2 linked regions of the Oryctolagus cuniculus genome follow. Each later gene encodes a partner of the first gene's protein in a complex. Links are inferred from orthologs where the notes say so. Each region holds a gene or a part of one and is shown in the gene's direction. Other genes may lie near its edges. The genes, in order: CFAP36 and ARL3.

Region 1 (15,054 bases):
CTGCTTCACTTCTGATCCAGCTCCCTGCTAATGGCCTGGGAAAGCAGCGGAGGATGGCTCAAGTTCTTGGGTCCCTGTACCCACATGGGAGACCCGGATGAAGCTCCTGGCTTCTGGCTTCTGCCTGGCCCAGGTCTGGCCATTGTGGCCATCTGGGGAATGAACCAGTGGATGAAAGATCCCTCTCTCTCTCTCTCTCTCTCTGTCCTTCTGTCTCCCCTCTGTCTCTGTAACTCATTCAAATAAATAAATAAATCCTTTAAAAAGAACTTTAAAAGAAAACAAAAGAAGGGAAAGCCTCCAGGGAAATTGAAAAGCTCTGGAAAGACTCTAGTGCCCAGTACTGTGGAATGCAGTTAGATAGTATTTTTACAGCCTCCTCCTTCTGGTCTCTCACTTGGATGTCAGTGGTTAAAATACTTGAAATATCACCTGCTGCTTTCCCAGGTGCATTAGCAGTGAGCTGGATCAGAAGTGGAGTAGCTAGGACTCCAACCAGTGCTTATATGGGATGCTGGCATTGCAGGCAACAGTTTGACCCACTATATCACAATGCCATTACCATAATGTATCATTTTTAACTTAGCAGATGTCCAAGATACTTCCTTTTGCTTTTTTTTAAAGATGTATTTGAAAGTCAGAGTTACACAGAGACACAGACACACACACACACACACACACACAGCTCTTCCATTCGCTGGTTCACTCCCTAAATGGCCACAGTGGCCAGGGTTGGGCCAGGCTGAAGCCAGGAGCCAGGAGCTTCATCTGGGTTTCTGACATGGGTAACAGGGGCCCAAGCACTTGGGCCATCTTCTGCTGCTTTCCCCAGGTCACTAGCAGGGAGTTGGATCAGAAATAGAACAGTCAGCCAACACTGGAGGCAGTGGCTTTACTCACTGTACCACAAATGCCATCCCCTGTCAAAGATATTTTTAAAAATCTGTTCAGTAATTTTCCCATGAAGAATTTATTCAGAGGAAACAATGAGAACGTGTTTCAGGAACATATGTACAAGTGCATTCATTACATAGTTGTCTATGGGCTTAATACAATGAAGTAACGTTATGTCTGGCAAAAAAGGACATGATCAAAGTATGATTGCCATACAATTTCCCTTAGATTCACAGTACTTAAAGAGGGGGTAAGTAATGTGAACAAATTTCACAGAAAACACACTCAACACATGAGGGATATTCACCACATAGTGAGTGAGTTCCAAAATTATTTTTTTAAAGATGTGCTTATTTATTTGGAGGGGAGAGAGAGAGAGAGAGAGAGAGAGAGAGAGAGAGAAACCTTCCAAACTTGGGTTTACTCCCCAAGTGGCCACAACAGCAGGAGCTGGGCCAGGCTGAAGTGAGGAGCCAGGAAATTCATCTGGGTCTCCCAAGTGGGTGCACCTGCCCAAGCACTTGGGCCATCTTCTGCTGCCTTCCCAAAAGCAATAGCAGGGAGTTGGATCAGAAGTAGAACAGCCAGGACTTGAACTGGTATCCACATGGGACACCAGTACCACAGGCAGAGGCTTAACCTGAGGCACAGCGCTGGCACCAAGGTTCAAAATTATTAAAGTCCACTAGCTCAATTAGGGTGGAAGTAGGCCTCTGTAGAAGATAGTCTAATTAAAGTTTCAGCTGTACCTTTGCATCAGTGATTTTTGGTAGAATCTGGCTTGACATCCACAGCAGACACCCAGTGAGCGTTGGTGAACTTCCTCCATGCTAATGAGCGGCACCAGTGTGGAGATGCCAGGCTTGCAAGCTTCCAGGCCTGGCCTCTCTGCAGCCTGGGTACTTAGTGTGTGGAAAAGGAGCTGACAGAATGCAGGGTGTTATAGCATATGTTTGCAGGTGCTTCTTCCCGGTCTTCTGTGGGGGTGCAGGGGCCCAAGCACTTGGGCCATCCTCCACTGCCCTCCCAGGCCACAGCAGAGAGCTGGACTGGAAGACGAGTAACCGGGACTAGAACCGGTGCCCATATGGGATGCCAGCACCGCAGGCAGATGATTAACCAAGTGAGCCACAGCACTGGCCCCGAGTTTACATGTATTTTTAATGAAGGCAAGGAGGCAGCTAGCAAGCAGAGCTGACATCACCAGCCCCTAGCTGCAGTCCAGCTTGTGCTGTAGCCCCACTGGCACCAGCCAACCACTTCCCATTTCTAAGCAGCAGAAAATTGAGGGGTCCTTGAAACTGCTGGTTTGAACCAGCTGCGGCCCAAAATAACCAACATGGTTGCAGCTGGAGACTTCATTCCAGCAACAACCTTTAGCTGCTTGTAATGTCTTTATAATAAAATTACCATGGCTGACACTTCTACTCCTATTATGGACCTGATATCATCACACTTCTGAGCTTTCCAAAAAGAGCAAGTAAATGGGTAAAACCTCAAGGTCTGCCCCCAAATCTGCCCCCTTTAAATATTCAATTTAACCATGCCCCAGACACCACCCTCTATGCCTCCAGATCACTTCCGGGGTGGACCCAAACCTCACTGAGTGCAGCTTATTCCAGTGTGCCCACTCTCCCTCTTGAGTGTGTACCTTTGCTTTGCATGCAAATCATCTTGTTTCTCTTGATCTTTACCTATGTCTTATCCTCAAATTCTTACATTGGACAGAACCTGGACCCAGTTATCTGACAATTTTGCAGTCCAGGAGTTAGGGCAAGTCACACATGGCAGCTACCAATAAAGTTATAACATTTCTGAGTACAGGAGGAATTCACTCCAAGTTCTCATGTATGGGATCAGAGATGATGTGCATTCTTAATTAAAAAGTTAAATCAGAAAAAAGACATAAACTCCAAAACAAAAATATCATGCAGTAAACTGTTTGGAATTGGAAGACAGGGAAAGTTGAACTTTCAAGACGGACCTTAAGTGGGAAATGGGCCTAAAGCTCAAAACAGAGTTCAGCTGCTATTTGCTGGCTTGCCGTTACACATTTACTCTGTTATGCTCTGTGTTTGTGGTCTGTGCCTAGGCACGTTCCTGATTCAACTGCTGAGATGGACAGCCCCCAAAAGTCCCATTTTTGCCATCCAGGCCTGACCATGAACTGAGGTCACTTTTGAGTATGAAGCCATCAGGTTACAGTGCTATCTCTGAAGCTAGCATCCCTCATCTGTATAGTAGGCCTGGATAGGAACCTGAGCAGGAACCTTATATATAACCTTTTGATCATTCTGAGCCTAAAGGCTCCTTCTCTTCCCTTGGTTGCAGACTTTTTTGTAAGTCAGAATTACAGAGAGAGACAAAGGGAGGGAGGGAGGGAGAGAGAGAGAGAGAGTCCATCTGCTGCTTCATTTCCCAAATGGCCACAATGGCTGGGAATGGAAACCAGGAGCCAGAAGCTTCTTCCAGGTCTCCCACATGGGTGCAGGGGCCCAAGGACTTTAGCCATCCTCTGCTGCTTTCCCAAATATATTAGCAGGGGGCTGCATTGGAAGTGGAGCAGCTGGGACTCCAAGTGGCACTTATATGGGATGCTGGCATTTAAGACTTTGGCAGTGCTAGCCCTAGACTGTTTTCTGAAGTCTCTTTATCCTAAATTCTTTTCTAGTGGATTTTGCTGACAGAATCATTTGAAAGCTATGTAGGAATAATCAAATCTAGTAGTTAACGATGGTCAAATAAATCAAGGTATACATTCTTTCATTTAGCAATTGTATTAAAATCTTTCCGGTGGAATAACAAATAAACCCAGCAGTTCGTGGGGCTGGCAATGTGGCTCAGTGGATTAAGACATTTCTTGCAATGCCTTCTTCCCATATGAGCACTGATTAGGGGAGTCCTGGCTGCTCCACTTCCAATCCAGCTCCCTGCTAATGTGCCTGGGAAAGCAGCAGATGACGGTCCAAGTACTTGGGCCCCTGCCTTCAGATGGGAGACCCAGATGGAATTTCAGGCTCCTGACTTCAACTTGGCTCAGCCCCAGCCATTGGAACCATTTGGGGATTAAATCAGTAGATGGAAGATCTCTCTCTCTCTAACTCTGCCTTTCAAAAAAAAAAAAAAAAAAAAATACTTTAAAAAGCCCAGCAGAGAGCTGGACTGGAAGAGGAGCAACCGGGACAGGATCTGGCACCCTGACTGGGACTAGAACACATGCATGTTTATTTCAGCAGTCTGCAGAAGCAAACAATGGTTGAATACTTAATAGCACTCCCAAACCATACAGGCAAAACAAGAAAAAAATTGCACACTAATGATCATATTTATGCATCCAAGTAAGATATATGTGCATACAAACATTTTGAAATAAAAATAGACTAAAGAGTGGTTTATAGAATACTTCGCATCTATAAGGGAAGCACTTTTTCTTATTTGAAAAGATGAAAACATACTAAGTGAAAAAGGTTTCATACTTGTACATAAGCCTATAAGGACTCCATTCACGGAACCATGTTGTATGAAGATATCCCAGGACTCCGAGAACCTTGATGATGACCTTTGAAGACTCATTCCACAATAGATCACAACCTGGAAACTGAGTTGGAATTATTTGATGTAAGATGAATATTAACTTCGATTTTACCCTTGAAAAGCTAATTGTAGTTATGTCCATTTGTGCTTGAACTTTTAAAGACCTGTCTGGAGCTACAGGAAGCAAATTGGCCGCAGAGCCTAACAGCAAGTCTTACAGAGCTTTGGTCAGCTTTGTATTTTCAGACAACCCTTCAATTACAAAGGCTTCTGGGTCAGCGATTCTCAGTGTTTGGGACTGAGGGGCTGGGATACAACGACGAAATGAAGTCTTTGAGGCCTTCTGTCGACTCTGTGGTCCCTCACTCCGCCATTTCTAAGGCTTGGCTCCCAGGGACTTCCCAGGAGGGAACACACAGATTCCTACCAGGGTCTCCAGCCAAAAGCTGCCTATACTTCTACTCTCGGCCTTAGCAACTCCGAACCAATGGGTGGAGAGGTATCTTCTGATACGCTGCTGTTGTTTTCCAACCAATCGGAAACGTTCTTCTAACGCTCTCCCCGCCCCCGTTCCCCCCCCCCCCCCGCCTCCTTTGAGAAGCGCAGACTCCAGGGAAGCCAGCTTCACTTCCGGGCCGCAGCCTGGGGCGGCTACGCACGTTGCCATAGCGACCGTTTTACGTTAACTGGTTTGTAGCTTAGATCCAGGTATCTGGGCGACCGCGGGGCCAGCTCTTCCGCTCCTCGCTGCTCCCTGTAGCCAGGAGGCCCCAGCAGGCTCCAGCGGCCTGGCCTAGGGATCCGCGTCGCCCAGAAGGGCGGTATGTCTGCGGAAAAAGACGACGAGGTGGAATGGGTGGTGGAGAGCATCGCGGGGTTCCTCCGAGGCCCGGACTGGTCCATCCCCATCTTGGACTTCGTGGAGCAGAAATGTGAAGGTAATTACCAGAGCTCGCGCCGACGTCCTTCCTCGCCTCCCTCACACCGGCCCTTGGCCGGGAGGTGGTCTCCACTCCTGTCGGCCGTGTTTAGCGCTGGTTGTGCGGGAGCAGTTGCTTTCACCCCGCCGGTGTTTTCCCTCGCAGACCTGAAAATGCAGTCTGAGATTCCCCTCTCCCTGAGCCCAGGCGCACGCCGAAAAACGTTAAGACTTTAATCCTGTGTTCTGTCTTTCACCCTACCCTGCTCGTCCCTGCCCCGGGCACGTGTACTTTTGGGGTGGGCTTTTTCAACAGCTGTTCTGGTGGCTCGGGAGGGGACGCGTCATTTTACCTCTAGGTTCCTTCATATTGCTAGTTAGCATTTGGTCCGTGTGCAGCCAGCCTAGGAGATGAGAAATGATTCACCCGAGATCGATGAGCAACGGAGAGCATGTGACCATTCAGCAAAACGTCTGTTTCCCTTGTTGAATTCTCCAAATCTCGGTTGTCTCCCAAATGGAGAGGGGTGCGCTTCTGCCCAGTGAGGCTTACAGACGTGGCATAATATTCGCGGTGGTGTGCGGGCTAAGTTTCTAATCAGCTCATGCTTAGAGTTCTATAATCAGTTCTTGGAGACTGGTTGGTGCCCATTCATAGAAAAGGAACCAGAAACCGTGTCTTAGGGGTGAGTACACACACAGCCATTATTGTGGTTGTTCAGCTGCGCAAGACTTTGAGAGCTGTGATATCTGTCAGTCATTTGAACATTTGTATTACGTTAGAGAGATTAGACTTGTTTTGTAAGGTTCGGTGGACTAGAGTTAGAGTCGCCGAGTACAAGACATAGGGGAACCGATTTCTGTGAAGGAAGGTTTGCTTCCTAACAGAATGTATTCTTCTTACTCAGAAGGTAATGGGTTTCTCGGGCACCAGCAGGTTTTGAATGGATCTGACATTGACTTAAGTTGTTAGAGGGGTTGCAACTATCAAATGATTAGTTATCTTGGATGTCCTTTTCAGATTTCTTTCAAACCCAAGATTCTATGAATCTGGTAAAGATGAAATTTTGTTTGGCCACTGATTTTTTAATCACATTCTTATTTGCCATAATAAAAATAAAAATAGCAGTTTTTAAGTGTTGTGTTTTTAAATTTTTATTTATTTGGACCGGCGCAGTGGCTCACTAGGCTAATCCTCTGCCTGCGGCGCTGGCACACCAGATTCTAGTCCCTGTCATGGTGCCGGATCCTGTCCCGGTTGCTCCTCTTCCAGTCCAGCTCTCTGCTGTGGCCCAGACGGCAGTGGAGGATGGCCCAAGTCCTTGGGCCCTGCACACCCACATGGGAGACCAGGAGAAGCACCTGGCTCCTGGCTTCGGATCCAGTGCAGTGCGCTGGCCGAGCGGCCATTGGGGTGTGAACCAACAGAAAAGGAAGACCTTTCTCTCTGTCTCTCTCTTTCACTGTCCACTCTGCCTGTAAAAAAAAAAAAAATTTATTTATTTGAGAACGAGGGAAGGAGAGAGAGAGAGAACATGAGAACCTGCTCCTATCTGCTCCCTAAAGGCCTGCAATGACCAGTACTGGATTGGACCAGGCCTGAGCCAGGAACTGGAGATTCAACCCATGTCTCCCACCTGGGTGGTAGAAACCCAACTTACTGGAGTCATCACTGCTGCTTCCCGTGGTCTACATCAGCAGGAGGCTGCAGTGGAGCATTGAATCCAGGCACTTAGAGGTGGGATGCAGGCATCTTAATTGCTAGGCTGATCACCTGCTCCCTAACTGTTGATTTTCACAGGTAGTTTTAAGAGGTTTTGAAAACAAAATAATTTTATTTGTACTCCTTTTAAAAATTTGAAATTATAAGACACTGAAAGGGGCCGGCGCTGTGGCCTAGTGGGTAAAGCCGCTGCTTGCAGTGCTGGCATCCCATATGGGTGCCGGTTCGAGTCCTGGCTGCTCCACTTGTGATCCAGCTCTCTGCTATGGCCTGGGAAAGCAGTAGAAGATGGCCCAAGTCCTTGGGCCCCTGTACCCGCATGGGAGACCTGGAAGAAGTTCCTGGCTCCTGGCTTTGGATCGGCGCAGCTCTGGCTGTTGCTGCCATCTGGGGAATGAACCAGCAGATGGAAGACCTCTCTCTCTCTCTCTCTGCCTCTCCTATCTCTGTGTAATTCTTTCAAATAAATAAATAAATCTTTAAAAACAATTAAAAAATAGACACTGATAATGCACCTAGAATTCCAGTATCCTTTAAAATAACAAAAAAAAATTATATCACTTGTTATTGCTGTTTGTCCCACTGAGGCTAAATACTAAAAAGGGAAAAAAAATTAAAGCATCGTTTATCTTTTTAACTACAAGTGTCAAAAGTGGCTGTATCCCAGTAATAACATACCGGATAGTATAATTTTATTGAGAGGCAGAAATCTTAGCCTTAGAAACTTGTACTGTAGTAATTTGGTTTCAGAATGAACTGAAAACAGCCTAAGTAGTTGTTGTATTGAATATATGTACAGTGCTACACAGAGCAGATGCCAGGGTAAATAGAAATCACATGCCAAGGACACTTCAAATACCTGTTTATATTTCACTGACTTGGCGTTGCCTATGTGCTAATCTCAACCTCAGATAATTTCAATATCAGTTTTCTACAACTTTATAAATCCAGCATTTATTTCAACAAATATTTATTGAATGTCATCCTTGGGCCAAAAGCTGGGGATAGAAAGACAAAACAAAATTCGGTGCTTGAAAATTTTAGTGGAGAAGACAGGCTGGTAAACAGAATGAAATACAGTGTAGCAGTTGATATAATAAAGGAAGACATATGGTGGTGTACATTGTAAGAGATCAGAGGAAGGGATCTAACCAGGTTAGGAGTTGGATGTGGGTAGCAGATCATGCAGAAGGTGCTACTTGGCAATATCTTGAAATGTGGTTGGGAGAGAAAGGGGGCAAAAAGGGTGGAGTAAAGGCAAAAAGAGGACAGGACTTATGCAAAGTCATGGGGATTTGAAGTGGTATATATGATGCTTGGAGGTCTTCCAAGTAGTTGTGCATTGTTAGGAGGCTGAGGCTTGGATTGTGGAGTAGGAAATGAGATCTGGAATCTTCTCAGACCTGCTTAAGATTTTGCACTTATTGGTAATGAGCAGTTGTTGAAGAGTTAAACTGAAAATTGCAGAAGTTAGAAAGATCAGTCTGGGAGAATGAAAAATTGTTTGCAATTCATGAGTTTGTCTTGGGATTTTTTTTTTTTTTTTTAGATTTTATTTATGTATTTGAAAGTCAGAGTTACACAGAGAGAAGAGAGGCAGAGAGAGAGGTCTTCCATCCGATGGTTCACTCCCCAATTGGCCACAATAGCTGGAGCCGCACTGGGTCTCCCACGCAGGTGCAGGGTCCCAAGGACTTGGGCCATCTTCTACTGATTTCCCAGGCCCTAGCAGAGAGCTGGATGGGAAGTGGAGCAGCTGGGACTCAAACTGGCACCCATATGAGATGCCAGCACTGGAGGTGGCGACTTTACCCACTAAGCCACAGCGCTGGCCCCTGTCCTGTTTTCTTAATTAGATTGTAGCTTCCTGAGGGAATATGTATATTTGAAATCTACATTATTTCACACATATAATCACATGTTTTTTAAAAAATTTATTTATATCTTTGAAAGGCAGTGTTAGAGAGAGAGATCTTCCATCTGCTGGTTCACCCCCCAAAAGTTCCCAAAGCCAGGGCTGGCCAGGCCAAAGCCAGGAGCATTATCAGGTCTCCCATGTGAATACAGAGGCCCAAACCTGCTACGCCACACCACTGGCTCCACGTTTTGGTTTTTTTTTTTTTTTTTTTTTTTTTTTTTTGTCCATAATTGAGATTTTATTGGTGTTGAGAATCAGCACACACATTTTAATTTGTACACAATTCTTAACATACGTACCAAAAATCTAAAAAGCCATGAATTGTCATTCTTTTTTTTAAAAGTTATTCCAGTGACTTTCCAGCTTCAAATTTGGAGGCAACTCTTCCTTAAGAGGCTATCAAGTACAAGTATCTTCAGATGCTGTTACATAAATCCCACCCATTCACAATATAATAGCATATACACGACACTCAAATTTTCAATCTTTCACGGCACATTAACAAAATCATTAGGAAAACTGGACTACCACAGCCGAAGATGTTACAGAGTGCACATGGTTCTGACAGAACAAGGAGTGGTTTTCTGTAGAAAACAATTCTACAAAACACGGGAGAAGTAACTGAAAATATTCAAGACAGATTAAATGCACAATTGAGACTCCAAATTGCCATTTAGTATGCGCTATACTGTAGGATATAAAAACCACCCCCACCTATGGAATGTTAAGCTGACACCCAAGACAGTCAAAGCCTCCCAGAATTCAATATGCCACTATTTTCTGGTTGTACCAAAAAATAAACAACCAGCAAATGATTTCACCTCTTAAAAAAAATCATTTACACTTAAAAAATGGGATGAGGTGGGCTTCCCTCCTTCTTAAAAATGTTTCTAGAGCTACTAAAAAACTTGCATTTACAAAATAGTTGATAAAAATATTCCTCTGGATTGTACAAGAAGGGAGACAGGGAGCACTGATAACACATGGTGTATGGTATTAATCGGACTTGGCTTCTTTCTCTTCTGCTTCATCAGAGGCTGGACTCTCCTCGTTTTTCGTTTCTCCGTTTTCTGCAGGCAGGTCTTCTTTAGCTTCTTGGTTAGCCACCTCGGCCTGTTTTCCCTTTGCTCCTCTCTTCCCCTTTGCTTGCACTTTCTTGTCTGATGACTTATCCTTCCCGGCGGCCTTCTTGGGCTTCGCTTCCACCTTGGCGGGGGCCGGCTTCGCCGACAAGCGCGCCGACCGCCTCTTGGGCTCCTCCTTGGCCGCCCCCTCGGCAGAGCTGACCTTCCTCTTGGGCATCCTGGCGGCGCGGAGGGCGCGTGCCGGGTGCCTGCGGGCCGCGGCGCGCCGAGAGCCTTCGCTGCCGCCACTCCCGCCGCCCGAGCTGCTGGGACCCGCCCACGTTTTGGTTTTTTAAGTTTAACATCATTACCGACCTATGGTGACAGAAAGGGGCTAATCACTTTCAGTAAAATTTTCATAAGAAAAATTCCAGTACAATAAGCTGGAGACTGTTTTAGAAGGATTAACGTTTAAAAGTTTTAAACATAAGATTTCATTAAAAGCTTACAAAAATATTGTTGCCTTATCTGAACACACTTAAAAGTTAATGGAGGGGCCAGGGTTATAGCGCAGCAAGTGAGTTAAGCCACTGCCTACAATATTTGTATTCTGCATGGATGCCTGTTCAGATCCTGGCTGCTCCACTTTTTTTTTTTTTTAAAGATATTATTTATTTATTTGAGGGATAGAGTTACAGACAATGAGAGGGAGAGACAGAGAGAAAGGTCTCCCATCTGCTAGTTTGTTCTCCAAATGTCCAAAGCTGGGCTGATCAGAAGCCAGAAGCTTTTTCCAGGTCTCCCACATGAGTTCAGGAGCCCAAGTGCTTGGGCCATCTTCCACTGCTTTACCAGGCCATAGCAGAGAGCTGGATCGGAAGAAGAGCAGCTGGGACCAGAATCGCGCCCACATGGGATGCTGGTGCTGCAGGTGGAGGATTAACCCGCTAAGCCACAGTGCCAGCCCCTTGGCTGCTCCACTTCTGATCCACATCCCTGCTGATGTGCCTGGGAAAGCAGCAGAAGATGGCCCAAGTGCTTGTCCCTGCCACCCATGTGGGAGACCCTGATGGAGTTCCAGGCTCATGGCTTTGAGCTGGCCCAGTCACGGCCATCAAGGCCACATGGGGAGTGAACCAAGTGAACTCTCTTTCAAGTAAATAACTAACCTTTTAAAACAAAGTTAATGGAAAATCAAAGACTTAAGTTTATTTTGGTGCAAAAAAATTGAAATCCTTGGGGCCGGCATTGTGGCATAGTGGGGTCAGATGTTGCCTCTGATGCCAGCATTCCATATGGGTGTCAGTTGCAGTCCTAGATGCTCCGTAGAATCTGGCTGCCTGCTAACGTACCTGGGAAAGTAGCAGAAGATGGCCTAAGTGCTTGTGTCCCTGCACCCACATGGGAGATCCAGATGGAGTTCCAGGCTCCTGGCTTCAGCCTGGCACAACTCTGGCTGTTGTAGCCATTTAGGGAGTAAAACAGAGAATGGAAAATCTCTTTCACTCCGTCTCTCTCTCTCTTTCTGTAACTCTGCCTTACAAATAAATAAAAAATAAATCTTAAAATTGAAATTCTTACATAGCTTTTGTTTTTTTTCAAGATTCACTTATTTGAAACTCAGAGTTACAGAGAGGCAGAAGCAGAGAGAGAGAGAGAGAGAGAGAGAGAGAGGCCGTCTACCTGCTGGTTTACTCCCCAGGTAGACACAATCGCTAGGGCTGCGCTGATCTGAAGCCCGGAGCCAGGAGCTTCCTCTGGGTCTCCTATGTAGGGGCAGGGGCCCAAGGATTTGGGCCATCTTCTACTGCTTTCTCAGGCCATAGCAGAGAGCTGGATCTGAAGAGGAGCAGCTGGAACTAGAGCTGGCACTCATATGGGATGCCAGCACTGCAGGCAGCAACTTTACCTGCTACGCCACAGCACTGGCCCTAGTTTTTTTTTTTTTTTTTTTTTTTAATAATATCGTTTTCTGTGAACTTTCTGAAGACCCTTGTGTGCATGAATTTCAATTTTTTTTTATTAAATAAATTTATTTCTTTTTTTTCAAGATTTATTGATTTATTTGAAAGGCAGAGTTCCTGAGAGTTAGAATGAGATCTTCCATCTACTGGTTCATTCCCCAAATGACCACAACAGTGGGAGCTGGGCTAATCTGTAACCAGGAGCCAGGAGCTTCTTCCAGGTCTCTTACATGGGTGCAGGGGCCCAAGCACTTGGGCCATATTCTGCTGCTTTCCCAGGTGCATTAACAGGGAGCTGGTTTGGAAGTGGAGCAGCTGCGACTTGAACTGGCACCCATATGGGATGCCAGCACTGCAGCCGGCAGCTTTTTCCCACTACACCACAGCGTTAGCCCCTAAATTTATCTTTTAATTCCATTTTCGATGAACCTTTGAAGTAACATTGCATTATTGATTAAAAAGTTGCAAATTAGTGTTCTTAAATATGAGGTAGTGTTTCTTTTAAATATTTTCCTAAGTTGGAGAAAACAACTTGTTTAAAATTAATACTATATTATTTACATATATTTCTTTTTTTAAAAAAATAAACAAACAAGAATTTCGGGCTGGCCCACTGGCGTAGCAGGTAAAGCTGCCGCCTGCAGTGCTGGCATCCCATATGGGTGCCAGTTTGAGTCCTGGCTGCTCCACTTCCAATCCAGTTCTCTGTTATGGCCTGGGAAGGCAATAGAGGATGGCCCAAGTCCTTGGGCCCCTGCACCCACGTGGGAGACCCAGAAGAAGCTCCTGGCTCCTGGCTTTGGATCGGCTCAGCTCTGGATGCTGCCATTTGAGGAGTGAGCCAGCGGATGGAAGACATTTCTCTCTTTCTCTTTCTCTGCCTCTGCCTCTCTATAACTCTGCCTTTCAAATAAATATTTAAAACAAACAAACAAAACAAACAAAAAAACCCAAGAATTTGAAGCTAAAAAGCTAGGCTATAAGAATAATACTGCAGTTCCATTTGTAAGGAGGTTAAGTTTTTTTTTTTTTTAATTTTTTTAGAGAAACATACAGAGAGCTCCCATCCTCTGGGCTGAGGTGAAGCTCAGAGCCAGAAACTCAGAGTTTAGATTTCCCATGTGTGTTACGGAAACTCTACCACTTGAGGCAAGTTAGTCAGGAGCTGTAGCTGGGCATCAAACCCTTGTATTCCAATATAAGATATGAGCATCTTAATTGGCTAACCACCTGCTCCAGAAGTAGATTTTTATATCTGTATTAATGAAATGATTGTTTCTCTACAGTATGCAATATTTTTTCCTTTTAAATTTAGTTTTTGATGATGAAGAAGAAAGCAAGTTAACCTATACAGAGATTCATCAGGAATACAAAGAACTAGTGAGTATTTTTTTCACTGATTTTTAAAGGTAATGAGGATAATATTTATACTTTCCTAAATTTGAAAATGGATTCTTTTTCATTAGCATTATTCACAAAGATCCAGTTTACCGTAACAGTACTGCCAGTTCTATCAGGCTCAGACGTTCTCTGAGCATCTCCTTATGATTTCTTGCCTCATCTACTGTGGAACTTAAGGACTGTTTTTCCAAATAATCTGATTTTTAAATTTTATTCTTATTCTTTTGATGCCTCCAGGGAGGTGTTAGTAATTTATTCAGTAACCGGTGTCTTGTGATTTTTTTAAACTACCTGGAGGTAGAAAGAGAGTTGTGTCACATGGAACTTCATAATCCTGACTTCATTTATTTCTCATAGAAGGAATTAAATTTCATGAGATTCTTCCCCCAAAGTTAACTTTTTGTTGTTTGTTTTTTGGTGAAAGACAATGTTACTACCACATAATATAATATGGAGATTGATATTTGCATTGGTTATACTTTTATAAAGATAATACTGAATATGAAAATTGTCATTTAGAATTTTCCTTTGTAAATTATAAAAGCTAATCTTTCTCTCTTTAGGTTGAAAAACTGTTGGAAAGTTACCTTAAAGACATCGGAATTAATGAAGATCAATTTCAAGAAGCATGCACTTCTCCACTTGCAAAGACCCATACATCACAGGTTTTTGCTTTTTTGTAATTCTGCTAACATGTAGTTTTAACACAAATCCCCAGGGTTCCTCTTAAATTTGGTATATTTGATTGATGAAGTCTAATATTTTGGACATTGTGAAAGGTAAAATGTGGGTTCTTCTTTAGAACAAATTTGAGAAATGATAACTTAAGGCATTAATGAACTGATGCAGCTAAAAATCAACTTTATGAACTCAGAGCTATAATAAGGTTATAGAGTTTATCCAAACTACTGTTTTATTTATGGAGATCTCTGATAATTCTGTAGTTGCTACCGCTCTTTAAAATAACCCCCCCCCCCCTCCGGCCACACTTTCCTTCTTCCTTTTTCTTCAAGAGACAGATGAGAGAGAGAGGGATAGACAGGTAGAGCTGCCATTCACTGGCTCCATCCCCAAATGCCCACAGTGGCTGAGGCTGGACCAGACCGAGGCTGAGAGCTGGGAACTCAATCCATGTCTCCCATGTTGGTGGCAGGGACCCAAACACTTGATTTCTTTCATGGGGCACATTAGTAAGAAGCTAGAATTGCAAGTGGAGCTGGGACTCAAACCCACACACCCTGAAATGGGATGCAGGCATCCTCACTACTTTTTTAACTGCTAAACAAATTCCTACAAGTTTCACATTTTATAAACTTAGCAGATCCATTGTCTGTAGTTCTTGAAGTTTCCTTGTTTTGGAAACAAATTGTCTAATATGGATTCCTGAATATAATGCTATAACTCAAGTATCCTTCTTCTCAAAAAATTAGGACTTCCCACCTTCTACCAAATAACCTGTAATTTCTTAGAAAGGGTATAGTGAGGCCTATCTATAATGTGACCCCAAATTATATTTTCAACCTTGATCTCCTGTAATTCTCTAACACATTGTGTATTGTTATTCCAGGCCATTTACTTTTTTTTTTTTTATTTTTTATTTGACCGGTAGAGTTATAGACAGAGAGAGAGAGAGAGAA
Region 2 (14,920 bases), on another chromosome or scaffold:
TTACTCTACATACTTGTGATGTTTCCCCGTGGTTAGGCCAAACAAGACTCCCAGGATTCCCTCTCTGGGGTGTTTCCGGGTACAGCACACAGGTACCTTATTCCTTAGACATGAATCTAGGTGTTGCTGTGTAGGGCCTTTGCAGATATAATTAACCCCCTAATTGGTTGGTGTTAAGTTAATCAAAAAGGAGCTTATGCTGGGTGGCCTGGCTTACTCACACAGAAGCAAGCCCTTTCAATGAGGGCCAAGCCCCCCAAGGCTGAGACTCAACCCCGTGCGAAGCTCCCCTCCCCTCTAGGACTGTCTCTTCCTGGCTGCCCACCCTGCTGTTGTCAGGCCTGCTCAGTCCATTGCCACGATTGCATAAGCCAGTTCACCAAGTCCCTGTAGTGAGTGCATTCTAGATTTATGTGTGTAATAGGGAGATAGACACAATCTACTGATTCTGCGTCTCTGGTCGAACCCTCACTGATACAGCACCCAGTGGCATAGCAAGTTCCTGATTTAAAGGTTTTCTCAGCGGGCAGTGTTGTGATGCAGCCAGTCAAGCCACTACCGTGGCACCCGGCATCCCATGCTGGAGCACCTATTTGAGTCCCAGTGACTCTGCTTCCACTCCAGCTCCCTGCTAATGAACCTAGGAAAGCAGCAGAAGGTGACCCGAGTGCTTGGGCTCCTGGCTTTGGCCTGGAGCAGCAGCAGCCATTGTAGCTATTTGGAGGGGGAATCAGTAGATGGAAGATCAATTTCTCTCCCTCCCTCTCTCTCTGCCAAATAAGTAAATAAGTAATTATACAACAGGAGCCAATGCTGTGGCGTAGCAGATAAAGCCGCCGTCTGCGGTGCCGGCATCCCAAATGGGCGCCAGTTCAAGTCCTGGCTGCTCCACTTCCGATCCAGCTCTCTGCTGTGGCCTGGGAAAGCAGTACAGCCTGGCCCTAGTCCTTGGGCCCCTGCACCTTCGTGGGAGACCCGGAGGAAACTCCTGGCTCTTGGCTTTGGATTGTCGCAGCTCAAGCCATTGTGGCCATCTGGGGAGTGAACCAGCAGATAGAAGACCTCTCTCTCTCTCTCTCTCTCTCTCTCTCTCTCTCTCTCTGCCTCTCCTCTCTCTGTGTAACTCTGACTCAAATAAATAAATAAATCTTATAAAATAATGAAAGATTTTCTCAGGGGCAGGCATTTGGCATAGCAGTTAAGACATTTGAGATGGCTACATCCCATGTCAGAATGCTAGATTCAAGTCCCAGCTTTGCTAATGCTCACCCAGGAGTTCTGGCTCTTGACTTCAACCTGGCCCAGCCCTTAGCTGTTGCTGGTGTTGGGAAGTCAGTCAGTGAGTACAAGATCTCTGTCTCTCTGCCTTTTAAGTTAAAAAGTTATTAAAAATGAAAATAAGTAAATAGGGGCCAGTGCAGTGGTGTAGTGGGTTAACGCCCTGGGGTGCTGGCATCCCATATGGATGCCGGTTCTAGTCCCGGCTGCTCCTCTTCTTTGAAAAAAAAGTGAAGCCATTAAGATTCAAACTTGTGTCTATATGGGATGCTGGTGTTGTAGGCAGTGGCTTAATTAACTAAGCCACCTCACTGGCCCCCAACTGGATATTCTAACTTGAAAGAAAGTATAAAGGACTGGGTTGGAAGTAAAAAAACTGAGTCAGCAGCATCAGGTAATTAAGTAGTATTTTCCAGTGAGAACGGGAAGAGTAGAGCTCTGAAGACAAACCCTGAGGAAGTGGGGCAGGTGCTGTGGTGCAATGGGTTAATCTGCCCCTTGTGACATCCCATATCAGAGTGACAGTTTGAGTCCTGGCTGCTCCACTTCTGATCCAGCTCCCTGCAAATGCACCTGGGAAGGCAGCAGAGGATGGCCCAAGTGTTTGAACCCCTGCCATGCACATGGAAGACTAGGAGACTAGCTTTACATGGCCCACACCTGGCTGTTGTGGCCATCCGGGAAATGAAACAGCAGATGAAAGATCACTTTCTCTCCATTGCTCTGTCCTTCAAATAAATAAATCTAACAAAACTAAACAGAATCTGTGAAGTCACTACAAATGAGGCAAGCTCAGAAAAACAAGGCCCAAAAGATGAGAAAGAAAAGCCAAAGAGAGTGGGGAGACAGCCATGGTCACTTTCTAGATTTACTCACTTATCTACTTCAGGGTCAGAGAGACAGATACAGAGATTCCATCTACTGGTTCACTCCCCAAACACCTGCAAGAGCTGGAGTTGGGTCAGGCTAAAGCTAGGAGTCCAGAACTCCATCCTGGTCTCCCATGTGAGTGGCAGGAGTCCAAGCACTTGAACCATCACTGCCAACTCCCAAGGTCTTCATAGGCAGGAAGCTGGAGTCAGGAGCTGGAACTGGGAACGAAGATGGGCATTTGAAGCACTAAGGGTAAACACACACTCCTAGTTTTTAGATGTTTAGTTAGGGTGGAAGGGAATTTAGGAAGTTATATGATGAGGGTAAGCCACTTTTTTTTTTAGATTTATTTATTTATTTGAAAGGCAGAGTTACAGAGAAGCAGAGACAAAGGCAGAGAGAGAAAGAGAGAGGTCTTCTAGCCACTGGTTCACTCCCCAAATGGCTGTAACGGCTGGGGCTTGGCCTGGCCAAAGCTAGGAGTCAGGAGCTTCTACTGGGTCTCCCACATGGGTGCAGGGGCCCAAGGACTTGGACCATCTTCCGCTGCTTTCCCCTAGCACATTAGCAGGGAACAGGATCAGAAGTGGAGCAGCAGGGACTCAAACCAGCACCCATATGGGATGTGGGCACTACAAGCAGCGACCTTACCTACTACACTACAATGCCAGCCCCAGTTCTTTTTTCTTAAAAGGGACTTACCAGGGCTGGTGCTTTGACACAGCAAGTAAAGCTGCCACCTGCGACATCAGCAACTCACATGGGCACCGATTCAGGTCCCAGATGTTCCACTTCTGATCCAGGTCCCTGCTAATGTGCCTAGGAAAGCAGCAGAAGACGGCCCAAGTGCTTGGGCTGCTGCACCCACTTGGAAGACCTGGAAGGGGATCCTGGCTCCTGGCTCCTGGCTTTGGCCTGGCTCATCCCTAGCCATTGTAGCCATTTGGGGAGTGAACCAGCAGATAGAAGATATATATCTCTCTCTCTTTCTCTTTCTCTCTCTGTCTCTGCTTCTCTGTAACTCTGCCTTTCAAATAAATCAATAAATCTTAAAAAAAAAAAAAAAAAAAAAAGACTCAGGCATAGGTCTCAGTTCTAACTGAACCAGGAGTGGGAAGAGGTAAAGAATTGGCTTCCCTGGACTCTATGTGAAGCTGGGAGTCTGGCTGACCAGCAAGTCACTCTGCCTTGGCTTACACAACCCTGGGCTCACAGGTGCTGGGGACAGCCTACCGAGCAAAATGCTATGCTCCCCCCCAACACACACACACACACACCTACCTCAAGTCAGCATTGCAAAGTCCACTGTCCCACATGGAAGTTCTACCACGATAATCATTTGCTAAATGATGCAAGAATCTTTGCCCTCCTTACTGGGGTCAGGATGGAAACAGAACAGTCCTTATTTTATACAAACCACAAGACCAAAAAGACAACTCGATTATTTGTCTGGAACAGCCCCCCCCCCGCCAACATCCGCTGTCCGCCAACGGGAACAGTTCTCTGACTCCTGCAGGGCACCAAGTCCTTGCAATAAGTACTCTGGCACCCGGAGCTTTGCAGCATGCTGGGCTGTTAGCACTGCCGGCTCCCTGCCATTTACAGTCACTCATTTACCTGGCCTCCCCGACAGACTGTAAAGTTCACGGGCATCAGGACCAAGTCTAGTGTTCCCTGCTGCATCTCTCATATGCCCTCTACAAACGTTTACTGCCTGCCTGAGATGCCCTCCAGCAGAGGCCTGGGTTCTCCTGGCTCCTCTCTGAAGTCATACTCGGGAACTGCCTTGCTCAGAAGAAGAGCAGGTTATTTCATGAAGCCGCAAATTCTACCCTGCTGTACGAAGGCACGTGTGGCCTCTAAGTTCTCCTACACGGTTTCCCTCCGTCTTCCCGCACAAGCCGCATCTAGCCTTCCCTAAAAAAGGCTACCATTGGGGCCGGCGCTGTGGCACAGTGGGTTAATGCCCAGGCCTGAAGGTTCGCCATCCCATAAGGATGCCGGTTCAAGTCCCAGCTGCTCCACTTCCAATACAGCTCCCTGCAAATGTGCCTGGGAAAGCAGCAGAGGATGGCCCAAGTCCTTGGGCCCCTGCACCCACGTAGGAGACCCAGAAGAAGTTCCTGGCTCCTAGCTTCAGATTGGCTCAGCTCCAGCCATTGCAGCCATTTGGGGAGTGAACCACCATATGGAAGACCTCGCTCTCTCTCTGTCTCTCTATAACTCTGTCTTTCAAATAAATAAAATAAATCTTTTAAAAAATAAAAAAAGAGGGGGCTGGTGCTGTGGCGTAATAGGTAAAGCTGTTGTCTGCAGTGCTGGCATCCCATATGGCCGCCAGCTCAGGTCCTGGCTGCTCCACTTCCAATCCAGCTCTCTGCTATGGCCTAGGAAAGCAGTGGAAGATGGCCCAAGTCCTTGGGTCCCTGCACCTGCGTGGGAGACCCAGAAGAAGCTCCTGGCTCCTGGCTTCAGATGAGCACAGCTCCAGCCCTTATGGCCATCTGGGGAATGAACCAGCAGATGGAAGACCTCTCCCTCTCTCTCTCTCTCTCTCTCTCTCTGTGCCTCTGATCTCTGTAACTCTGCCTTTCAAATAAAATTAAAAAATCTTGAAATAAAGAAAGAGAGAGGGGAGGGAGGGAGGGAGGGAGCGAGGAAGGAAGAAAAGGCTACCATCGTGTCCCAGACAGCCCTACTTCTGTTGCATTACAGTTCCACTAGGAACACGGTGGAAATGAAAACAAAGATTGACTAATATCTGCCCTGCAGCACTGGAGAAGGTCACAGCTGAAGGGCATGGGGACCCACGATGTCTTTATAGGCGCGAGGCTGCCAGACTCTGAAGTCAGACCAAAGGCCACTGACTGAGATGGATGAAGATTCCTATCACGGTTTCCTAGAACCCAATGGACATGAGAGTGGGTCCAGGAATGTTAGCCAACACTCACCTGACTCCAGGCTGCTGTGATGTTAGGCGCCTGACAACCTGAAAGAAACCTGCCTCGCTTTTCTCACAAAAGAGCCAGCCACCTAAAAATGATGGATCATAGGGGTGCATGCCCCAAAGCACTCATTCATCTGGCACCTCCTGGGTCAAGGTTCTGAACTGCGTCTTTGCTCCAAAAATCTAAAGCTGGTATGCGCGTAGCTGATTTTTAAAAAATGATTCATTTATTTGAAAGTCATATTTACACCGAGAGAGAGAGGAAAACACAGACAGAAAGAGATCTTTCATCTGTTGGTTCATTCCCCCAGATGGCCACAACAGCCGGGGCTAGGCCAGGATGAAGCCAGGAGCCTGAGCTTCCACTGGGTCTCCCATGTGGGAAAGGGGCCCAAGCACTTGGGCCATCTTCCTCTGCTTTCCCAGGCACATTAGCAGGGAGCTGGATAAGTAGTGGGGCAGCCAGGACTTCAATGGCGCCCATTATGGGATGCAGGTGTTGTAGGTGGCAGCTTTAGCTGGTACGCCACAACACCAAGCCCCAGGTGTTTTAAAAATACTTTGGGAGTGGATATTTGCCACTGGGGTTAAACCATCATCGGGATGCCTGCATTCCATATTAGAACCTGAGTTCAAGTCCTGGCTCTGCTTCCAATTCCAGCTTCCTACGAATGTCCAGTCTGGGAGGAAGCAGGGGATGGGTCAGGTAATTGGGTGCCTGTCACTCACATGGGGGTCCTAGATTGAATCCAGGCTCCTGGCTTCAGCCTGGCCCAGCCCCAACTGTTAAGGGTGTTTGGAGAGTGAATCAGCAGGTGGAAGACTTCTCTCTCTCTCTGGCTTTCAAATAAAACAAACAAATAAATAAAATACAACAACCTCTAGTTGAATGTGTAAACAGTTAAAGACCACTCAGGAAAAATATCTTCATTCTAATGATCTTAACTAGACATAGAATCCGGCTGGTAGGGAAAAAAAGTCCAAAACCCTAGATGAAATTATTGACAGCTAGCCCTAGGGCAGACACTTAGCTCAGAGGCTGGGATGCCTGTATCCCACATCAGAGTGCATGGGTTCAATTCCCAGCTCTGGCTTTCTTTCTTTTTGATTTTATTTTATTTATTTGAAAGAGTTACAGAGAGAGGTAGAGCCAGAGAGAGAAATAGAGAGAGAGAGAGATCTTCCATCACTGGTTCACTCCCCAAATGACTGCAGCTGATCCAAAGCCAGGAGCTTCCTCTGGGTCTCCCACACAGATGAAGGGGCCCAAGATCTTGGGCCATCTTCTACTGCTTTCCCAGGCCACAGCAGAGAGCTGGGTTGGAATTGGAGCAGCCGGGACTTGAACCGGCACCCATATGGGATGCCGGCACTGCAAGCTGGGGCTTTAACCCAATGCACCATAGCCCCTGGCTTTCGACTCCAGCTAGCTCCCAGGTGGGAATCCTGTATTGAGTTCCTGGCTCTGGGCTTCCAATCAGCCCAGGGCCATCTTGCGCATTCTGGGAGTGAACCAATGGTTAGGTGTTCTTTCTCTTAAAAAAGAGCAAAGTAAGCCCTTAGATAGTGCTTCCTTTGCGGCAGGCAATGCTCTATGCATCTGACAGATAATATTCATAATTCACATTACCCTCACTAGAAACCGCTGAGGTCACAGGCACACACACGCACATTAGCAAGCTTCCAGATGTATCATTTGCCCCCAGACTTTATCAGCTCTCCAAAAGCTCTTGGTTTCCATCTGTGATGTGTCCCTCCCACCTGAACAACTGTGTTTAGGAGCAAAGTAAACAAGTGTGTCCAAGTCGGTCCAAGTCCAAACTCGCCATCTGCAACAATCAATTTCTGGAGTTGTGCGGTGAAAAGCAGTTCTCTAGGAAAGGCGACATTTCCATGAGGGCAGACTGTCCACCGCAGTGTGCCGAGATGCGGGCCTACCACTAATGCACGTGCTGAGACTTACACGGACGGGGTGGGGGCGGCGCTTCCCAGCTCACCCAGAACCCGTCTCTCTGCCCCCTGAAGGGAAGTGCAGGCCCGTTTTTGCCTCCAGGTCCCAGCTCGGGGTTTAGAGCGGTCAGGAGGCTGCCCCCGGCCCTCCGACCAGGAACCTTCACCCGCAGGGACTCCCTGTGGAGACGACTGCACAGCCCCTAACCCCCACCCTTCTGCCCGGCGCTCCATGGCAGCTAGAATCCGAGCAGTGGCATCTGCGAGCAGCTCTAGGCCACTCCTTGAACCACGTGGCTTCTGCAGGTAGAAGTCTAGCCCCCACCCCAGCCCAGCGCAGGCGGAGTCAGGACAGAACTCCCAGCCCTCCCGGGACGTGGCGACTGCAAACCGCTGGGCAGCCTCCGCTCAAGACCCTTTACCTGGCCGCAAGAGGGATGCCTGACACAGCCGCCGCCAGATGTAGCCAGCCGCTGCAAGCCGGGCCAGGGTGCTCCGCCTGCCAGGGCCAAGGGACCGCCTTCTCGCCCGCCCACGCCCCTCCTCCTGGCCAATCAGGCACCGGGAGGCTCCCGCCAGCCACGTGGGCGAGTTTTCGCCGTTCCCTGGGTCTCCAGCCCCCTCTGCAGCGACCCCGCCCGCGCAGGGGCGGGCACCTCGGCGCGCTTGCGCACTTTGGAGAAAGCGAAGCCGGACCCCGCCCAATACGGCGGCTTTGCTCCTCCGCTGTGCGTGCGAGGGACGTCGGGGGCGGCGCCGCGGCAGTTGCCCCTGGTAACGGGGGAGGCTGCAGGAGGAGGAGGAGGAGGAGGAGGAGGAGGAGGAGGAGGGATTCGGCGGGAGGATGGTGAGTGTGGGGACCCGGGCCCCTCTGCACCCGGCCGATCACCCCCCTCCCCGCTCCAGGCCCAGGGCGGAGCCCCGCGCTTAAAGCCGAGGAGGAGATGGGAAGGCGCTCAGCCTGCAGTGTGGGTTCTGGATTCGCTTTGAGGGGCGGCGGGAAGCCCCGAGGGTGGGCCCAGAAGGGAGGCCTGGGCTTAGGGAGGAAGGCGGGGCTTGCGACGGGTCCGAGGCTTGGGGAAGGGGCTGGCAGAGTTGGTGGCTGGCCGGGTACCGAGCCCAGGCTCCATCAGTGCCCTGGTGGCAGGGATGAGGGCAGATCCGGGGAGCTGCGGAGCAGCCGCCTCCGCACGCAGGCTTGGATCACCCTGAGACTCGGCCTCCTCGCGCTGCAGGACGGGGTCCGGGCCCGCAGCGGGGAGAAGGTGGGCCCGCGGCGCCGGGGGACGGTAGCCGGGCTTGGGCCCCCGGGGTCCGATTCCCAGGACAAAACGAGGTGCGGTTGGGATGCCTGGTGGGTTCCACGCAGTGTCGGCGGCTGCGTGGCGGGGGCGCTTCTGAAATCCCGAGCTATTTATTCATTTGCTCAGAGTTCCACAAGATCCGGTTGCTGATGACCGACGATTCGTTCAGTCCTTAATCTGTGTGGATGGAAACAAATTGGCTTCCCGGCCCCTACCATCTCCTTGGAAACCTGTTGCAACCCCGTTTTGCATGTGGCCACACCGGGCCCCAAGGTCTTGATCCCCACGTGGGGTCTCCAACCCCACCTCCGGCAATGAGGGAGGGAAGCTAGAACTGGAGAATAGGCGTGAGTGGGGCGAGCGTTTCCTCTGTCAACCCTAATTAAGGCTGTGACAAATCGCACTTTTTGTGTGATGGATTTGACAGTTCCTTGTTGATTTCTGTGCGGTGGCATTGAGTGACTTTTGAGCTAGTCGTAGAAAAATCGATTTGTTAAAGATTTCGGAGCAGCTTGGTTGGTTTACCAAGTGCAAAAAATCCAGTAAAGGAAACTTGCAGTAACTTTCCACCCTGCCCCCTTGTTCCTTTCTGACCTTTCGAATGTTGAACCATTACTATTAATTTAAGAAGTAAGAAAAATCCAGATGACCGGGAGGAGAGAGTACATGTTTCCCTTTGGTCGATTATCCATTGAGTAAATTTTGATAGGAAGAAAGAGCCTCAGTTGATTTAACATTGTCATATCGCTCCCAAAGCAGAGCTACTTGATCTGACCTTGCCATCACACTTCGCACTTGCTACATTTGTAGCTTTTGAAACCTCAGGCTAAACAGATTTTTGCAAGTGTTTTCTTTTTAGTAATCATTTATACATGAGCAGTCCACTTGAAGGCTAGGTTTTTCTCAACCTATGAGTGCAAACATAAATATTTACACAGAAAATTCCTAAAATCGAAACAAAAAAAGGCATGTCAAACCACCAGAGAGTGAGATTTGTCATTATCGAGGACCGCACCAGGTGCACATTGGCACTGTATACAGATTGACAGTGTGTACACAACACTGTTGTATACAACTGTTGTCAATAATCAAAACAGATTGGGGGTTTGTCTCTTCCTTTTTTCTTAAAATGAACAATAAGAAAGTAGAACAAATTATTCTGGATTCTTTATCTGGTTACCAAATACACTTTTTTTTTGGTCTATTTCTAAAAGAGTGAGCTATTCTTAGGATTGGAAGTAGAACACTGAATTTAAATGGTCAGTGATGTAATTAAATATGTCACATCTGGTATCCCCAGGAGCCCCATGCTTCACTGTACAACTGAAAACTGAATTCCAGGTTTGGAGCTTTTTTTGTTTTGTTTTGACAGGCAGATCTTAGACAGTGAGAGAGAGAGACAGAGAAAGGTCTTCCTTCCGTTGGTTCACCCCCAAATGGCGCACTGCGCCAATCTGAAGCCAGGAGCCAGGTGCTTCTCCTGGTCTCCCATGGGGTGCAGGGCCCAAGCACTTGGGCCATCCTCCACTGCCTTCCCGGGCCACAGCAGAGAGCTGGACTGGAAGAGGAGCAACCAGGACAGAATCCGGTGCTCCATCCAGGACTAGAACCCGGGGTTCAGGTGCCACAGGCGGAGGATTAGCCAAGTGAGCCGTGGCGCTGGCCAGTTTTGAGCTTTTTTTAAATTTCAGCATCAACTGATATATTTAAAAAAAATTCAGGTTACTGCAACCATTATTGGTTTCTGTGAACATTTAGAGTCAGCTGCATTACTCTTGCCTTATGATACCAAGTTCTTGAAGAAGTACCAAGATGACAGTAATCTTAGCACATAACTAATCACTGTTATTTACTGTGTGACTCCATGCAGTAGCTATTTGGGGATTGCTTTCCACCCCTGTGGAGCTTGGGGCAGTTGTCAAGCTTATTCAACACTGAAAGCTTATTCCCAGCAGTGTTTAAGTTTTCTGGTCTGAAAATGGTCAGTTAAGGAACAAAAAGCCCGCAACTACTGTTGGGAGTGCCTACCATGTGGCATGCTTTCTATCTGTTACTTCATTTAATGCTCTTGGCATTTTTTTGGGGGGTGTGTCTATTGCTGTTCCCATTTCCTAGATGAAAAGATGCCCCAGGTTGTGTGTGCTTGGAGAGGGAAGTTGAATGAATACAAATCTGAAATCTTGAACCTCCTAGTGAGGCCCACCCTGGCTGAGGAGATGCCTGGGAAACCTTGTGTTGTTATTTAGTAGAGTGGTGATGAGAAAGATGACAAAATGTCAGTGAGATTTTCCCTTTCAAAGCTGTAGAAGTTTAAAGAAGTAAGAATAAGTAAGTAAAAATGGTCAGTTCCACTTAAGCTAGTCATTGGGAGGGGCCGTCTTTGAAAGTTGGCTTTGTAATTTCAATATGTAAAATGTTAGCTCATTTTCCATACTCCAACACATCCCTGTCCCCCTCCACCACTCCAGTCTCTTTGAGTGACCTAGTTTGTAGCATCATTTTAGGTCAGCGTGCCATGCCTCTGCCAGTAGCTGAGTTTAAGCTGATTTTAAGGCAGATAAAATGTCTGGAGGCATGATTTGCTTGTAGAAAAGTTAGTTTAAGTGCTTGTGGCTGAGTCAGACCACTTCCGTCCACCAGGGTGCAGATAACTTGTAAACACCCATGCTAGTGACACACAACGTACAATTAACTGAAATTCTTGTTTTCTTACTGCCTTTGTTTAATGTCGGAGGAATGTGGATCCTGCATAGAGGTCCTGTCCATTTTGCTCACTGTTGTACTTGGGTACATTATGGCTGTCTAATAGGATGACCCATAATGAATGGATATTTTGACCAAGAATAAAACTTGTAAAGTTCATTTATACTGCAAAGCTCAGGCAAATGATAAATTTAACTTCTAAAGGCTATCTCCCTTGGTTGGACATTTAAGATAGAGCATGGGTGTATATGGATGGAAGGGCAGAATGCTCCTAGACTTACTCTGCTCCCTTCCATTCAGCCTCTCTTGAATCAGCTTACTCTGTACCTTTCAGACAGAACCCTGGCATCTATAAATGTCCTCAGCCCTATTTAGCACACCTGGTAATCCTGTGTGCCCCTGTCCTCCGTAGGTGGATTAGTAGCCTGCTGCATTGCATTTGTATCCCTAGGCCATGCTTGACATGACACTTAGCATTTTGCTGCAAGAAAATATTAGCAGAACTTTACATTTCTCCGTAATTTCACCTATAGGTGAAGCACGTAAACTTTCTGTTTCCCAATTAGAAGTGAAGACGTATAGTATTCTGGGCCATTAGGTTAGTAAAATTTCTCTGCAGTCAGGATGATTGCTTTAACCTCTGGGCTGTGTTCTCTCCCTTTCTTTTAAGATGAATATAAATGATACTTTTAATTATGCAGTTTCAAATACAATGAGTTGTGTTGAAAATCCTAGCCTGCAGAAAAGAGTATTTTATTTGATGTTTTTTTAAAAAGAGAAGATACATGAGAGAGAACCCAAAACATCAAGCTTAGAAAGCAGATCTAGGTGGGCGCCGCGGCTCACTTGGCTAATCCTCCACCTGCGGCGCCAGCACCCCGGGTTCTAGTCCCAGTTGGGGCGCCAGATTCTGTCCCGGTTGCCCCTCTTCCAGGTTGGCCTCTTCCAGGCCAGCTCTCTGCTATGGCCCGGGAGGGCAGTGGAGGATGGCCCAAGTGCTTGGGCCCTTCACCCGCACGGGAGACCAGAAGCACCTGGCTCCTGCCTTCAGATGGGTGCAGGCGCACCAGCAGTGGCAGCCATTTGGGGGGTGAACCAACGGAAAGAAGACCTTTCTCTGTCTCTTTCTCTCTCTCATTGTCTAACTCTGCCTGTCAAAAAAAGAAAGCAAGCAGATCTTCATCACAGTTTCTTCACTTGTGGGTGACTCAGAAGATTTTACCTGTATGTCATTTAATGTATTAATACGTTCCAGTTTTTTGGGATTTACTGTAAGAGATAATGGGACCCTTTTTTTTTTTTTTCACATCCAATCAGGCACTCGGGATGAGTAGTGCATTGTGTTTTCCCTGTTCTTTGTATCATTCTGAAGATCTCAGAATTGTAACTATTCTGAAAGGTGGTATTATAAATGAGTGATTGCAAATGGAAGCCCAGGAGACTTCTTACAAATACAGGGGTTTTTTTTTGTTGTTGTTGTTTGTTTGTTTTTGACAGAGCTTAGACAGTGAGAGAGAGAGAGAGAAAGGTCTTCCTTTCTGTTGGTTCACCCCCCAAATGGCCGCTATGGCCGGCGTGCTGCGGCCGGCACAACATGCCCATCCGAAGGCAGGAGCCAGGTGCTTCTCCTGGTCTCCCATGGGGTGCAGGGCCCAAGCACTTGGGCCATCCTCCACTGCCTTCCCGGGCCACAGTAGAGAGCTGGCCTGGAAGAGGAGCAACCCGAACAGAACCCAGTGTGCTGGCGCCGCAGGCGGAGGATTAGCCTAGTGAGCCGCGGCACCGGCCTACAAATACAGTTTTAAGAAGGAATGGTGCCGCGGCTCACTAGGCTAATCCTCCGCCTTGCGGCACCAGCCCACCAGGTTCTAGTCCCAGTCGGGGCGCCAGATTCTGTCCCGGTTCCCCTCTTCCAGGCCAACTCTCTGCTGTGGCCCGGGAGTCCAGTGGAGGATGGCCCAAGTCCTTGGGCCCTGCACCCCATGGGAGACCAGGAGAAGCACCTGGCTCCTGCCATCTCAGCGTGGTGCGCCGGCTGTAACGCGCTGGCCGCGGCGGCCATTGGAGGGTGAACCAACAGCAAAGGAAGACCTTTCTCTCTCTCTCACGGTCCACTCTGCCTGTCAAAAAAATAAATAAATAAATAAACAAATAAAAAGAGAAAGAAGGAATGGTGTCAAAGTATTCAAGGCTAGAGGAGATTGGAAACTAAAGTGAAACAACAGACAAAAAGCCCTGCCTATATTGTGTTTGTTTCCAGTCCATCCAGTCTCCTCCCCTAAATATTTGGGCATAGAATTTGTCTTTCTATCTTAAACTCAACCTTTCATTTTGCTGCTGGAATGATTGAAGGCTGGCGAGGTTAATGCGGTCCTCAGCAAGTCAGTACAAATACAGTAGTTCAAGTGCTAAACAAGGAGCCTCCAGGCAGAAAGGAGTTCTTAATAATTATGTGTATTTGCATATCATTGTCCCTAGACCTAATTGTTAAGGATTCTTTCACAGAAGTATTGTTTGATCTTAGTGAACAAACTGGTTTGAATCGTTGCCTGCTGCCATGTGGATAACAAATACAGCCATTTTATATATTGTTAGACTCAGCGTGAAGGAATTTCTGCTCTGGCTGGGAGATAAGATTATATGCCCTTTCAACTCTGGGATTCTTTGAGGCTTGTTGCAGCCATGCCTCATTCGACTGTCAGCTGCAGGACAAAACAAATAACTATCACATAAAAATTGTCTCGGTGGCTAGCTAAAAAGCAACGTGGGTTATTTTCATCCATAAAAATAATAAATAAAAAAGCAACAGAAATGTTAGATGACTATTCAGAAATACTCTGGTTATATCTGGATGTTTTTCTCTTCATGAATGCCCTTTCCAATTCCTCAGTTTCTCTGTTGTATCCGATTTTTCATCTGAAAAACCCAGGTAATCTGTATAGCATGTGTGTAGCCTGAAATGCTCTTGTGAAAGTTAGACTATGATAGAGTATTTGAATGAAGTCTTAAAACATGAACTGAAATAGATAGTCTTACATAGAGAGCTCAGCTACGATCTTTAAGTGCTTGAAAATGTTGCCTTGACTCGGGTGGGTGATTCTGTTGAATTTGATAGCTGTTACCTGCTGTCTGTCTAGTAAGTGCCATGCGCTGTGGAAGACAGAAGCTGTCAGTCTTACCCGTGAGAAATTTCACCCTAGTGAAGAAGAAAAAATACAAAATCAATTATGGTGAGTAAAGGTTTTCAGGAAAACAGAGTGGGTAGTAGTGCGCACTCACAGGAGAATTGGGGTGACTGTTAAGCTGGATTAAGAGGAGGAGCAGGAATAAGCCAGGCTGCTTATTAACTTGCTGAGTTTACCGTAGTGTGTCTGCCAACACTTGGAAGGAGCAAGTAAATGAACTAAGTGGCATTAGAGTGGAAAATAATGACATAAGCTCTCCATAACCAAGAACGTTTTTCAAGGAGAAGTCATTCTGATGTCCAGTAATGTCAAAACCAGTGCCCCTAAAGTAATCTCTCTCCTTCATGGTTGTTTAAGGGCTTACTCTCAATTTTGCGCAAATTGAAAAGTGCACCGGACCAGGAGGTGAGAATCCTTCTCCTGGGCTTGGATAATGCTGGCAAGACCACCCTTCTGAAGCAGCTTGCATCGGAGGACATCAGCCACATCACACCTACACAGGTGAGCACTGCCTGCCTCCAGGTGCTGTGTGACTGGGGAAGGAGGCTAACCGAGGTGTGAAAGACCACGTGGGAAATAGAGTTTTGTCCACTCCCATGATCTGTTTCTGAGAAAAGTCTATACAGTCTAAGATTAATCAGATTTCAAACATACATCAAGAAATTCCCTTCATATGAGCT

Evidence for each region.
Region 2: the proteins of CFAP36 (region 1) and ARL3 are in contact, whole or in part, in a crystal structure (PDB 4ZI3), measured with the Mus musculus proteins. The link is inferred for Oryctolagus cuniculus from reciprocal best matches to the Homo sapiens genes CFAP36 and ARL3. Residues at the interface, in NP_080016.1 of Mus musculus: Glu44, Glu45, Ser46, Lys47, Leu48, Thr51, Glu52, Lys58, Val61, Glu62, Leu65, Glu76, Phe79, Gln80, Cys83, Thr84, Ala88, Lys89, Leu97, Val100, Leu101, Ala103, Glu104, Asp105, Phe106, Thr107, Ile108; in NP_062692.1 of Mus musculus: Leu3, Leu4, Ile6, Leu7, Arg8, Lys9, Leu10, Lys11, Ser12, Arg19, Lys35, Glu40, Pro47, Thr48, Gln49, Gly50, Phe51, Asn52, Ile53, Lys54, Trp66, Ile74, Tyr77, Ser80, Tyr81.

What each region holds. Positions count from the first base shown.
Region 1 is NC_091433.1:147,072,472-147,087,525, reverse strand, and holds the start of CFAP36 (cilia- and flagella-associated protein 36), read left to right. Parts: upstream 1-5,009; 5' UTR 5,010-5,251; coding exon 5,252-5,366; intron 5,367-9,218; exon of another isoform or gene 9,219-9,984; coding exon of another isoform or gene 9,985-10,290; exon of another isoform or gene 10,291-10,352; intron 10,353-13,331; coding exon 13,332-13,396; intron 13,397-13,980; coding exon 13,981-14,082; intron 14,083-15,054. Other genes in the region: non-histone chromosomal protein HMG-14, read right to left, coding at 9,985-10,290. UniProt on the Homo sapiens protein: May act as an effector for ARL3.
Region 2 is NC_091446.1:27,265,915-27,280,834, forward strand, and holds the start of ARL3 (ADP-ribosylation factor-like protein 3), read left to right. Parts: upstream 1-7,883; 5' UTR 7,884-7,892; coding exon of another isoform or gene 7,893-7,895; 5' UTR 7,896-7,992; coding exon 7,993-8,016; intron 8,017-14,196; exon of another isoform or gene 14,197-14,282; coding exon of another isoform or gene 14,283-14,285; intron 14,286-14,597; coding exon 14,598-14,741; intron 14,742-14,920. UniProt on the Homo sapiens protein: Small GTP-binding protein which cycles between an inactive GDP-bound and an active GTP-bound form, and the rate of cycling is regulated by guanine nucleotide exchange factors (GEF) and GTPase-activating proteins (GAP).